Caenorhabditis elegans: one gene and its partner. The protein of the gene in region 2 purifies or fractionates together with the protein of the main gene of each other region. This does not show direct contact. Each region holds a gene or a part of one and is shown on either strand. Other genes may lie near its edges.

What was found.
Region 1: the proteins of snt-1 (region 2) and unc-41 purify together in Caenorhabditis elegans (affinity purification with western blotting, with the first as the bait; one study listed by BioGRID). This does not show direct contact.

The regions. Positions count from the first base shown.
Region 1 is NC_003283.11:9,973,197-9,978,256, forward strand, and holds the start of unc-41 (Putative stoned B-like protein), read right to left. Parts: upstream 3,043-5,060; 5' UTR 3,031-3,042; coding exon 2,257-3,030; intron 1,881-2,256; coding exon 1,814-1,880; intron 1-1,813. UniProt on the Caenorhabditis elegans protein: Potential adapter protein, which may be involved in endocytic vesicle recycling of synaptic vesicles.
Region 2 is NC_003280.10:6,808,902-6,816,490, reverse strand, and holds snt-1 (C2 domain-containing protein), read right to left. Parts: upstream 5,524-7,589; coding exon 5,408-5,523; intron 4,603-5,407; coding exon 4,505-4,602; intron 3,409-4,504; coding exon 3,227-3,408; intron 2,401-3,226; coding exon 1,930-2,400; intron 1,632-1,929; coding exon 1,514-1,631; intron 1,444-1,513; coding exon 1,304-1,443; intron 1,188-1,303; coding exon of another isoform or gene 1,054-1,187; intron 969-1,053; coding exon 865-968; intron 615-864; coding exon 512-614; downstream 1-511. UniProt on the Caenorhabditis elegans protein: May have a regulatory role in the membrane interactions during trafficking of synaptic vesicles at the active zone of the synapse. It binds acidic phospholipids with a specificity that requires the presence of both an acidic head group and a diacyl backbone.

The DNA of each region.
Region 1 (5,060 bases), on a different chromosome or scaffold from region 2:
GGGGAAGGAGACAGAGGGAGTCTTGATTTGTAATGAGCACGATTTGTCTTCTTGATATTTAGAGTATTTTTTGAGGGAGCAGTAAAACAAAAATAGATATACCTTTTATATTTTGGAAAAATCTGCTTCTCATCTATAAAAATTTTGAAAAATCAAGATTGTTGATTTTGTCTTTGGGTTTATCAAAAAAATTATCAATAGACAAAATATTTACATTTTTTCAGTTGAAAAGTATCCGAAATAATTAAAATTAACCAAGAGATGAGCTTTACGAAATAGAATAGGCAGGTGCTTCGTTAATAGGGGGAATAGTGAACACATTAATAAATTTTCACAGAATCATATTTTGAAAAGTAGTTATTATACTTATACCGTATTTCCTCTATTAGTCTTGCATGCAAGACTAGTTTTCAATCGATCCCTAGAGGTGCGAGACTAATAGAGGCTGCAAGACTAATTTTCGAAGATCCAAAAGCTCTGTAAAATTTGCAATTTCTCGTCAAAAAACTTGACTAGAAACAGTCTAAACCATGCAAAGTAAATACTTGCCCATTATTTTATCAATTGTTTGAACTCTTTTAAGTTTAATTCAGCCAAACAATGACGAATTTTTTGAAGTTACAAAAAAATTGCTGATCTAGAAAAAAAAGAGTGCAAGACTATTATAGAGTGCAATACTAATAGAGGCTGTAAGACTAATTTTCGATTGGTCCGTAGAGGTGCAAGACTAATAGAGAAACTACGGTAAGTTTAACTTGTATATAAATGGCATTAAAACTGCTATTTGTGGATAATATTTTTGTAACAACTTGAAAAGGTTGTAATTTGTTTTTTTTAATCTTTAACCATTACAGTTGACCCTACAAAAAGTATTGGAAAGACTGTGGCCGTTTCAAATAATATGGCTTAACACTGATTTTTTTTTGAACAGAAACCAGTTGCAAGTAAAATAAATTTTGAATTCTACACAATGGAACAGCTGAAATAAAATGTTCTATCAAACTACCTGCTCCAGTGCTGGAGAAAGTTTTTCCATGTGTACGCTCTGTTGCAGATATCTAGATTTCAAATTAAATAAACTTAAAGCAGTAGTAGAAAATATGAAAAAGTAAAAATAAAAGAGGACAATGAAAACTGGTTCCAACTCTCTCTCTCAACTCTTTCTCCCAAATCGCTGCTGTTTCAATTCACCGATGGCTTCCCCTTCTCTCGACGCAGGCTCAGCAGTAGAAGTGGCACATCTTCCGTTTCAGATGAGGTAAAGAAAGTGTGAAAAATGAAGAAGCGGAGAGAAAAGAAGTGAAGAGTTCCGCACTCCTCTTCCCTTTTCTCTCTTTGCTCGACCCCTTCTATGATCAATTCAGTTTTTACGTGCTTCTGACGACGTGAGAGAGCATGGGAAGTGAAGGAGAAAATATGCAAAGCAGGGTGAAAGACAAGGGAGGACAGGGGATTAGCAAATGGGAGCAAGTATTTTTCGTTGAAGGAACAGGGAGCTGCAGCAGAAGTTGAGATGAAGTCGTTGAGGATATTTGAATGAGAAAGTGATGTCTAATTGAGGGTTCCAAAGCATGGTGACAGACAATTACGGAATCTAGATATGTTTGTCTAGTTGTCCCATTTTGCTCCACCCTTCAGCTATTGCTCCATTCAATTCTTAATATCTCAACGTCATTTCTCAATATCCGCTCCCCATCTTTTTTCCCATTACGATTCTTTCTGACAATCTTTTTTCTTTTCGGTTCGTTTAACTATGTATTCTGACGATATTCATACATTTCGGGATTTTTTTGTGCAGTAAATTTATACGTACCTTCCATGTCGGCGAAATTTTCCCATTCGATACTTGACCTTCGATGAACAACCGGAGCAGGAGGAGCCTGAATAAACAAGTATTTTTTGATTTGGAAATAATTTTGACATTTTTAACTTTTCAGATGTGAACGATAGTAAGAATTTGATGTCAAAATATTTATAAACTTGATAAGCTGTGTCCGAAAAATGAGCACAGCAGACAATTCATGAAGCAGAATTGGCTAATTTTAAATTTTGAAAAACTTATAAATAGCTTTTTCAAGTTTCGAAAAAATTTACAATCAAATTTAAGCAGTTTTTAATAATTGTGCCATGTTTGGGCGGCAATGGAATTTTTGGCGATTGAAGAATTGCTGGATTGTCGAAAATTCTAATTGCCGTCCATATCTGCTCTAGACTCTTTTTGTATTCGGTTTTTTAAAATAATAATTAATTACTTACTTTATCCTTGTATTGTGGATTTTCATCAAGAATATCTCCTTCATAGTCATGAAGGGGAGTTGTTCTTCCAGATTGACTCATCCTTCGACCACCACCTCCGGGTATCTGATTTGCCATCGACTCGTAAAATTCTGAATATGACATATTCTCTGTTTTTCTCCTTCGACCACTTGGAATCGACACTTTAATCTTTTTCTCTGCATCTGTTGGAATTGTATCATTAGAACCATCAACACTTCCAGCAAAGAATGCGATTCCATCTAAAACACACGCAGATGTTGGAGTTGTAGGCCTTTTTCGAATTTTCTGATCATACGCGTGCCGAAGTTCTTCAGCTGTTTCAGCGAAGTTCAAACTTTTTGGAGGTGTCACAACTGGTTCTGCAGATGCTGCAAATACTTGTTCAACTTCTGCATCTTCTTCTTCGTCCCTTATCAAACTTTTGTGAAGTTCTTGTTCTTGTTCAGAGTGCCCGGGACCAGGTACTGCCATTTTATATTTCTGGGTCTCTCCAAGTTGAGGATCCACCTTTCCAGGCTTAACTTCAATGATTGTGTCATTTGTATCAGATGTTTTCATACTGACTCCTTCAATCATATCGATGTCAAGTGAAGCTGGTAATTCTGGTGGACCTTCATCTTCAATTGATTGAGTAAATGAACGCATTGCTCTCATTGAAGCTGCTCGTTCTGAAGATGACTGTTTCGATTCATCAGTTAATCGGAAAGCATTTCGGCCACCGTGTGGATCAAAATCACGGTCTCTCCAAGACATCTAATCTTAAAAATATAGGGACATTGTGATTAATGAATAAATAGACAAGAAATGAAAGAATTGGAGCCTGTCTAGGTTATTTAAAATTTGGGAAAAATCAGGAACGGTATGGGACCATGTCTTATGTTAAAAAAAAATTTTCAAGTTTTCTCGATAAGTTAGGGATTTCAAAAAATTGATAGAATTAAATTACTGAAGGCATTTTTGTATTCCCTTAAGTGATCTAATGGTACCTGTGGGTTTTTTGACAAAACATGCACAAAACATTCATTAACTAGAGAGTCATAAAACAAGATTCGTCAGACACTGTTCGGCTTAATAAGTGCAAAACAAATTTTAGCAACAAGATTGGAAGTATGGTATATTTGTATAGATATTGAAATAAAAGAAAGATTTATCTACTTTTTTAGTTGAGATAAGAGAAAAATTGGTTGTTTCTGTATATACATATATTATTATTTTTCTTGCACTATGCACCTCATTAAAAATTGATTAGGCATTGAATCTATTGGCTCAATTTTAGTTTTGTTTCAAAACAGACTATGAAAGGTTATTTTTTCACTTAGATTTTGGCAATATACTACGTCATTTAGTCAAAAAAGGTTTTGCAAAAGACAAGAAGAAACGGAAGAAACGAAAAATTTGTGTGTCAACAAGTGGAAACTTGATATTTTGGATATTTGGACCGGTAGTTTGGGTTTCAGCCGAAACACGAAATACTGAATCTAAGAATATATTGATTTTCAGATTATCCATTCCATTCGTTTCTTCCATCTTCAAAAAGGTGCCTAACCCATGAAATCTACCCATCAATCTGCCCTGTCTCTCCTTTTCCGCTATTACTCCTAGGCTTTCTATGCATATAAAATACGAAGAGTCATGCCTAAAAAAGAATGGAAGGGTTTGGAAAGAAAATATGGAAAATAAAATGAAAGTGGAGACGATTTTGAATGTCAAGACTCTTCTTCTACTTTTTCTTTTGAGTGCTTATGTATGAGATAAGTGATTTTTTAATATTTCACGAGTCTATTCTCTAATTGTAAGCCCCCAATTGCATGACTATTTATTAAAATGGTGCAAATAATATTGTTTTCTAAATCCATAAAAGTAGAATCCATTCTTCGAAAACTACACCGATTGGTAGTACTAGCACATTCAATTATAGATACGACGGGAGGAAAAGCGAGAGGCCTGAAAGGGAAGGAGAAATTGCGAATTAACTGAATTTTTCCTTTTTTTCTCAATCTGATTTTGACGGGAAAGAATATTCACAAATTGAACAAAATAAAGATCAGAATTTGCAGACTTGAAAAATCTTTTGAAAAAATTATCTATAACTTTTTCGTGTAATAGAGAAGTACGGTAAGCGTGAGACCCTTGGTTGACTTTAGCAGTTGTATCCCACTTGATCAAAAATATCAGTAGTAAATTTACAAAAGCTATAATGGAAAATCATCGAATACGCATTTTTCAGTAGGTAAGGATTCGTTAAAATGAAATACGATCTAATATATAATATCAATGTTCTGTTTCGAAATTTGAATTAGCTGTTGGCATTTTAAAAGAATCAAATGTATTGATATCTGTTGATGTAGCATGTTATTGGAACCTAGGTCGGTAATTTTTTGAAACAGTGACCTAAGTTACACTTTTCAAGAACAATGCTTTCTTAACTTCATTTCGCCATACAAATGTTCACTTTGCGTAAATAGTCAAACTCAAGCGGTATGTCCTCTAACAGAATGTAACTTTTTTGGTCTAAAAAGTGTGTCATATAATCAAAAGCTGATATGTTCTAATCTTCTACTTAATCTTTAGCCTGAAAGATATAAGCATGTGTAACGTAAGTCAATGTTGCAGTTTTTGAAGGAATATTCAAAAAACAGGTGGAATTTAGAAGCTCTTTTAGCATATGAAAAGTTATTGGTTCGAGTACTTTTGCACCAGGGGTGTGCGGCAAATCTCAAAATTTGCCGAGCTCGGCAAATTCGGCAAATCTACTTTTTTGAAATTTGCCGTGCTCGGCAAAT
Region 2 (7,589 bases):
GCACATCAAATAGTTTTGAAACAAAACATCAAATATTTTTTATAAAATCAGTTTTAGAAGTTATTTATTTACCAAAAAGAAAAATGTGTAAACGATGCAATTTAATTATGTCAGCAAGATTGACAGAAAAAAACACAAATTTCCAAAAAATAGACATCTAACGAATAAATAAATTGGAAAAGTTAAATAAATTAAGAAAAGGAGAAACTCTGAATTCGAGTATATAAGGAACATGTTGGAAGAGTGAAAACAAAGAGAGATTAATATTTAAATCACCGCCTTGGCACTGACAATTGCTACTCATTTCTACACATTGCATTATAAAAAAATAAAATAAAAATATTTGATGCATGGATTTTCACAGCGACTAGATCCTATGTACATCGGGAAATTGAAACTTTGAACGAAAAAGGACAAGCAGGAAAAATAATATCTCTTTGAATTAAAAAAAAGTGAAAAATTTAGATTGAATAAGGCATTTAAATTTAAAAAAAATGATAAAGTCATACATTTATTTCTTATCATCTTTCTTATCACCTTCTTCTTCAACTGGTCCAAGTGTATGCCATTGAGCAATTGGACGACGTGGTGAAGCCAACATATCCATCCAATGCCTGGAAATAGTTGGAATACTTTTGTTTAGGTTGATAAAGGAATTTCGCAACATTGTTTATGGTCTCGGTATCACATTAGATTTATGAAAAATTGAAAAAAATAAACCAAACTTCTTAGAACTTCCAATTATCAAAATGTATATGTCACCAGTTAACACTTTTAAAAATAAACCCATATTTCTGTGGTCACTTGCAAGAATTTTTAGACTTTCATTTAAAAAATTATTAAAAAAAAAAAACAAAAGCAAACCTCAGCTCGGCACCGGTTCCATTACATCCCAATAGACACCTTCCAATAGCGTCATTGGATCCAAGTTTATCATAATCCATCACAGTGATCATAAGGGAAACTTTCTGCAAATATTAAAAAAAAATAAATATTCAAAAATCGTCTCGAAGTTGAATGAAAAAGTTAGAAAGACATGTTAGAAAAAGCCACCTGAATTTGTTCGAAAGGCACTTCAAAGCTGAACGATTCGTTATAATATGGGTTAAGTGTACACTTTTTGATTGATGTCTTCTTCTTTTTCAGTCGTTTTCCACCTTGCATCAACACAATCTTCACATAAGGATCTGAAAATTACCCCAGAAAATGAAATGTTAGATTTAGTTAGAAAGGTTAAAGCCAGCAATATTTGGGGATATAGAATAGTTTAGTTTCAGCGCAAATTTATGAATTCCCAGATCACCTTCATTTTATGCAATGGCAATTTGTCAAATACAAAACTCTCATTAAAATATGGATTCAAAGTTTTCCGTTTGATATTCGTTTTCTTCTTTTTCAATCGTTTTCTATCTTCTCCGAACATTTCCAATTTCACATATGGATCTTATAATTTTAAAGTTTAGATTTTTGTTAGAATTAGGATCAATAATTTTTTTAATTAAAAAAAAGTTACCTGATAAACCACCGACGTCCATTTTCTTAAGATTTTTTGCTTCCAGAATGACCACTGTCAATTTACCAGCAGTTGGGACGTACCGAAGTGAGAAGCAAATGTCACCAAGACTCTTCTCCTGAATTTTTAGAATTTGTTTTTGGTTTTTGGGTTGTCAAAAAAATGATTAAAGTATTTCGAATTCGCTATTAAAGAATGTGAGGTCAGAAAGAATCGCATTGTAAATTTTTTTACGTCTGGAAGGATAATAGGTGTTATAGCTCTCAAATTTATATTGTTGTATTTATAAATATTTGAAATAGTGTACTTTGGAAGTAGATTTTCAACTGAACTGATTCGTTTCTACATAGACGGTGCTTCTATTTCTCAATTACTTTTTGATAATTCAATTAACATTTAAAAAAAACAAAACTTACAGCTTCTTTGTCATCTGGTGGTGGTGCAATATCCTTCCATTCTTCGATAACAGCTCCCAAATCAATTTTTCCAAGCGGAATGAGAACTTGTCCGATTTGATCGTGCTTACTGAACCGATCGAAATCATAAATTGCAAAGACAAGAGTTTTTGCCGTAATTTCGTTGAAAGCGACTTTAAAAATGAATGTCTCATTGAATACTGGATTAAGAGTTTTTCGATGTACTTTCGTCTCAACCTTCTTCTTTTTCTCCGGTAACAAATACAATTTTACATATGGATCTGATGTTCCTGACATGTCCATTCCTGGTAAATCTTCTGCTTGAATTACAGTTACAGTTAGTTGACCTTGTTGGAAATCATAATCAAGTTTATATTGTATCCTTCCAAGTTTCACTTCTTCTTTTTCTTCAGCTTGTTCTTTTTCATTTTGTTCCATCGCATCACCAAGTTCTTCCAAGTCTTGAGCCATCTGAAATTAATTATACAATTATCAAAATCAAACTAGACAACACTGATGTTTAATCTATTTTGATGAAAATTCTGTCGTCATCGTTTGGAAATTCTATTACTGATTCTGACATATTCCCCAAGAGATTCTGATCGCTATTTTAAAAATATGCATGCTCTCAAAAACAATTATTAGAACAATAATTTGTTTCATTGAACTCCAGTTAGAACGACAGTTAGTAATTTATTTGTATTCCAATCTTAAGAGAAATCAAAACTTTGTACTACTTATTTCAAAAACCGAGACAATCGTTATTTATGTTTTCAACTTTTACAATTAGTTACCTCGAGGGGCTATAAAATTAGGAAGAGTTCAGCAAGGTTGGCTAAAAAAATGTTTTAGCAATAAACGAGATTCAAAAATTCGTAGGTTCAAAATCCCGATAAAAAGTTTTTCAAAAAAATCCAAGTAAAATGTTTTAGGTTTAACTCTAGGAAATGAGTTAGATCAAGGATTTTTGTTTTCAAAAAAGTCGGGAATTTTTTTTTGTAAAATTCTTGATAAAATTTTCCTAAGAATCAAAAACTAAAAATTAGAACAATACCAAGAAATCCAAGGAAGAAATCCAGAAATAAGACATTTGCATGCCTGGAGTCACTTGCAAAAAATTGCCTGCCTACCTACGTGCCTATTATACTCTTGCACCTCCATGCATACATGGGAGCTCTAGATTATCATAACCAAGTTTACATGTTTGGTTTCGCAAAGTCGCTCGAATACGGTATTCCGTAACTTATTATATTTCCTTCCTTGTTTTTCATCATTATTTTTCATTTCAAAAACATACCCCTTGAATATTTTTTCCATCAACGACATCCTGTCCTTTACCAAAGAATCCTTTCAATCCACCCTTTTTGTTCTTCTCACCATGCCGCTTTTTTCCAAATAACTTCCGAATGAGACAGAATGCACACGCGAGAACCAGCAGAATAAATACGAATCCAAGAAATACGAACGCCCATTCAGGCACTGAAATTCTCGTAAAAAGGGATATGAAAAAGTTGAGAGAAAAATAGAAAATAAACCAACTTTACTTTAATATTAAATTCACTTTCAGCTGTTTTTTTTCTCTATACTTTTTTTTTGTTTTTGTTTACTATTTAATTGAAATCTATAAGTTATTAATAGATGTATGTATTTATTTATTTTTTGCATATCTCTATAATATTTATTCCCCAAAGAATATCTCTTTTCCCTATCCTAATTATTTTCGTCACCAGTATTTGTTGTCCATTGGAGCATTGGAGCCGCCAACTCATAAACGAACTACTTTTTTAGTGTCCAGTGATGAATGTGTTATTGTTCTTCATGCTTTTACTTCTCTATCTCTCTTTTTCTACTAATTTTTCGTCTCTCCCTAGGGACATCTACCACTTTTTTGGCACATGCTCTTCTTTTCTGGGGCCATCTTTCTATACACGTCAATTCTGGTTACTACTTTCTCTTCTTTTCAATACTCGAAAAGTAAAAAATCTAAAATATTCAGCGCATGGGGAGGAATAGAAGGAAAAAGAGAGAAAGGCTGTCGTGGTAGCCAAATATCAAATTACAATCGACACAGCCTGAAGCTGTGAAACGGATGGAGCATCCAGTTTTTTTGGAAGAAAAAAAAACGATTTTAGATCCCCGAAAGACAATGAGAAAATTTGAGAAAGAGTATACATGAACACTTTGTATGAAAATTTCCAGGAATTTTAATGAAAACGGTACTATTATATTAGACCAATGACGTCAGCTTGAAAAATGACACCGGTTGTTATAAATTCTATATTTCTGTCTACAAGAATTCAAAGTTTCTGGTAAAAAATATATAAAAGATCATCGAAAAAAGCTTAATCACAATCATAGTAATATAGCAATGTTGTGGTTTTCTGTTTCAATGAAATTTTGTTGAGATTCAAGAGTTTGGGAATATTCAAAATATTTCGAAAATTCAAAACGAAATTGAGAACCAAAAATCAATTACAGTTGTATTGATTATTCAGTAAATAAAAAGATTAAGGGGTTTTGGTAACTTCAGGTTTATTTCTTTCAATTTTTCTCCAACCAATAATTAATGACTCACTCCCAGTTTGTTGCATAACCTTTTCTTTCACAACGTCTTTCACATCAATCACTTTATTTACAACCACATCTTTCAGCGTCTCCTTTGTCGTTGTTGCTCTGAAATTATTTTATTTTTGTTTAAAAATTCACAGAATGCAATAAATCAATCGAAAATGAACAACATTTGTTCCTTCATGAATCGATCATGACATCACATCGCATGTTTATGAGCGCCCACAGATTTCATATTTTATATGATTTTTCTCGTTTCTTTTATGGTTTGTCGTTTTTTCTTTTCTTCTGTTTTCTTCCCCTTAGCAGATTAAAATAATCGTTTAAAATTTATATGAAGATAAATAATGTCGCAGTGAAGCCAAAAAATATTTGAATCATCATAAAATTTGAACGATCAACATAAAAAATATAACCAGTTGGTAATTCCTGAGAATGATTTGCCGAAACATTGCTAAAAGGTGTACCGAAATTGGGCAATGCTTAGAACGGCCTCAGCAAAGATTTGACAATTAATTTAAAATCAAGCTTATTTTTTTTATAAGTTGAGCTTGAAGGGACACCGGGTGCCGAACAATTTTTCCAGTAAATTTCAAAACTTTAAGTTAGAGGCGAATTTAGATTAGTCGATTCTACTGGCTGTACCTCTCTTATTAGTGCTGCCCCTTTTTACTCGATTTTTAGTTTGTTTCAAAAAATATAGAATTCAGGTTTTCTGATATTAATATTTTTTAATATTTAATTAATTAATATTTTTGGGGTTTCAAATTTTTGGCATTTTCCATAATATTTGTCGCAGGTTTTGTTAGTTCTTTGAACTGGAAACTCAAAAGTTTTCATTTTCTGAGTGTGTCTAGGAAAGAAAGATACAATCTCTAAAAGATTATGGCTCTTTTCTTTTTCTACTTACATTTGCTTTACTGCTTCCGATGTTGTTTCTTCCATTGGTGCTTCATCCCTTACAAACTCTTTTGTCAAGTCTTCGTCGTTCTCTTCGTCTTGCGACGAAAAGTCTAATTTCACCATGGTGACTGAAAGTTTGATTGATAAATGAAATCAGAGGTAAATCAAGATGCAAAGCGTCGAAGAAAAGGGTTCCGTGAGAGAATGAAGAGGCGGAGTCGGGGGTCGAATGGGAAAATAGGCAAACCCCGGATGAAAATGTGTTTACAGAAGCGAAATAATTAGAATTTTTCAGAAAGAGGCGAGAGATGTAGGAGTCTGTTTACTTTTCCAGAAGAAGAATACATTCTGATACGAGAAACACGGATGTAAAAATGAAATCCTTGTATGGGAAAAAATATGGGAGACGAAGAGGAGATTATTATGACATTAGATTAATCATATTATCCTATTATTCAAGGGCAAGAATGACGACTAGTTAAGGGGTTTTTTGAACAGATGAAAACAAAAAAAAAAACGTCATTTAGAGAAGAGCAGGATTACTTTTTGAAAACTTTGAGGATCCCAAGGGTCAAAAATCTTAGTAGATCTTGAAAAAGTTATAGAAAGGGAAATGTGCAGTATTCTCCTCAACTTTTTGTTCTTGGCTCATTCCTTTGGAGACCTTTGAGAATCTATAATTATGGAAAATAGTAGGTTTTAGTAGGTTTGAATTTGAATTGAAAATTCGAATTCCAATTGAAGATAGATATTTTTTATTGGCTTCGTATTTTTTTGTTTTTGCATATTTGCTTTCTTTTTTGTCTGTTTTTCGTTGCGATAAACACGCTATATGCAATTCAAAAGCGACGAAAAATAAGAAGTGAAAAAGCATCGAATGATAATACGAATGGGTCGACTACACGAAAGGACCGCTTGGAAAAACGAAAAAAAATTGATTTTTTGTTAGATGTCGTCGTCAGAGCAAAAAAAAGAAGAGAAGAGGTGCTCTTTCGGAGGGCAGGTGAAAAAGAAGTGTTGTAGAGGATGCAAATTTTGGGGAAAGCTCACATCGAGCATTTGCGGTGGTGGTTGCATTCTTGATTTTCCCATGGCTTTGAATAATGATTCTAATTCAGGAGTTTTGCAAGATAGGCTTGGGAAAAATATTTAAAACTTGTCACTAACATATTTCAAGAACTGAGAGAATGGATAAGTTACTTAAAGATTTAAAAAAGTTTTCGGAAAAACTTTAAAAATTGTAGTGTTTCTCAGAACTTGGCAGCCAACAATGTTTCTAGTAACTATATGTTAGGTTGCTGGAGATAAAATTTCTTAGTAACATTTTTTCAAGCTTGTATAAAATATTTGTATGATGTTCTGGGGTGAAAAGTTTCGGAGACCTTGGAACATGTCTAAATTCGAACTTCGCGGGAAATTGAGAAATACGATGATAAATCAGAGATGAGCGAAGGGCATCAACAGTTTTGATTTGTCGGCTTCTAAATTATTTGAAGACATTAAAAATCAATTCCTTTGTCGACAATGTTGGAGACTTTTCAGAAATAAAAATTCATGACAGTTTTTTTTGTTGAAAAGATTGTGTAAGTTATTTTGGGTCTTTCAAATATTTCAAAAATCTTAAGCTTAATGTTTAGATGAGCCCACCTCTTCAAAATATCTCCAATGAAATTTCAAGAATTATGGAGAAAGAAATACCCACGCACTTTTTTCTTTTTACTGACCTGTGTCATCTTCACAAGCTCATGTAATTTTCATTTGGGTGAAAGGTCAGTTTTCTGTTTCAAAAGAAGATGCACCCCAAGTGCCATTAGTTAAATTTGAATTCGTTCCTATTTCGAAGCATAATTGAGAAGAGTCAAAAGTGTGATGAGACCAAAATACCATTGTTCGAAAAACAGATTTTTCATTTTTATTTGTATTTTTGGCTTTTAACGGAAAATAGGAATAGGCATGGAACGGGGCTACAAATAATGTTTGTAAAGTTTCAATATTTATTTTTTGGGCAAAATGCGTTTTGAACAATATCCAACAAAACCAAACTGATTTTGAAAAAACTCGATATGAAAATATCATTTTTCAAAATACCCCCATATATTGATATTTTTCACAATGAAAAATTATCTGTAACGGTGAAGCAATCGAAAATCCAATACAAGAAATACTTTTTCTGGAACTAGAACAAAAAA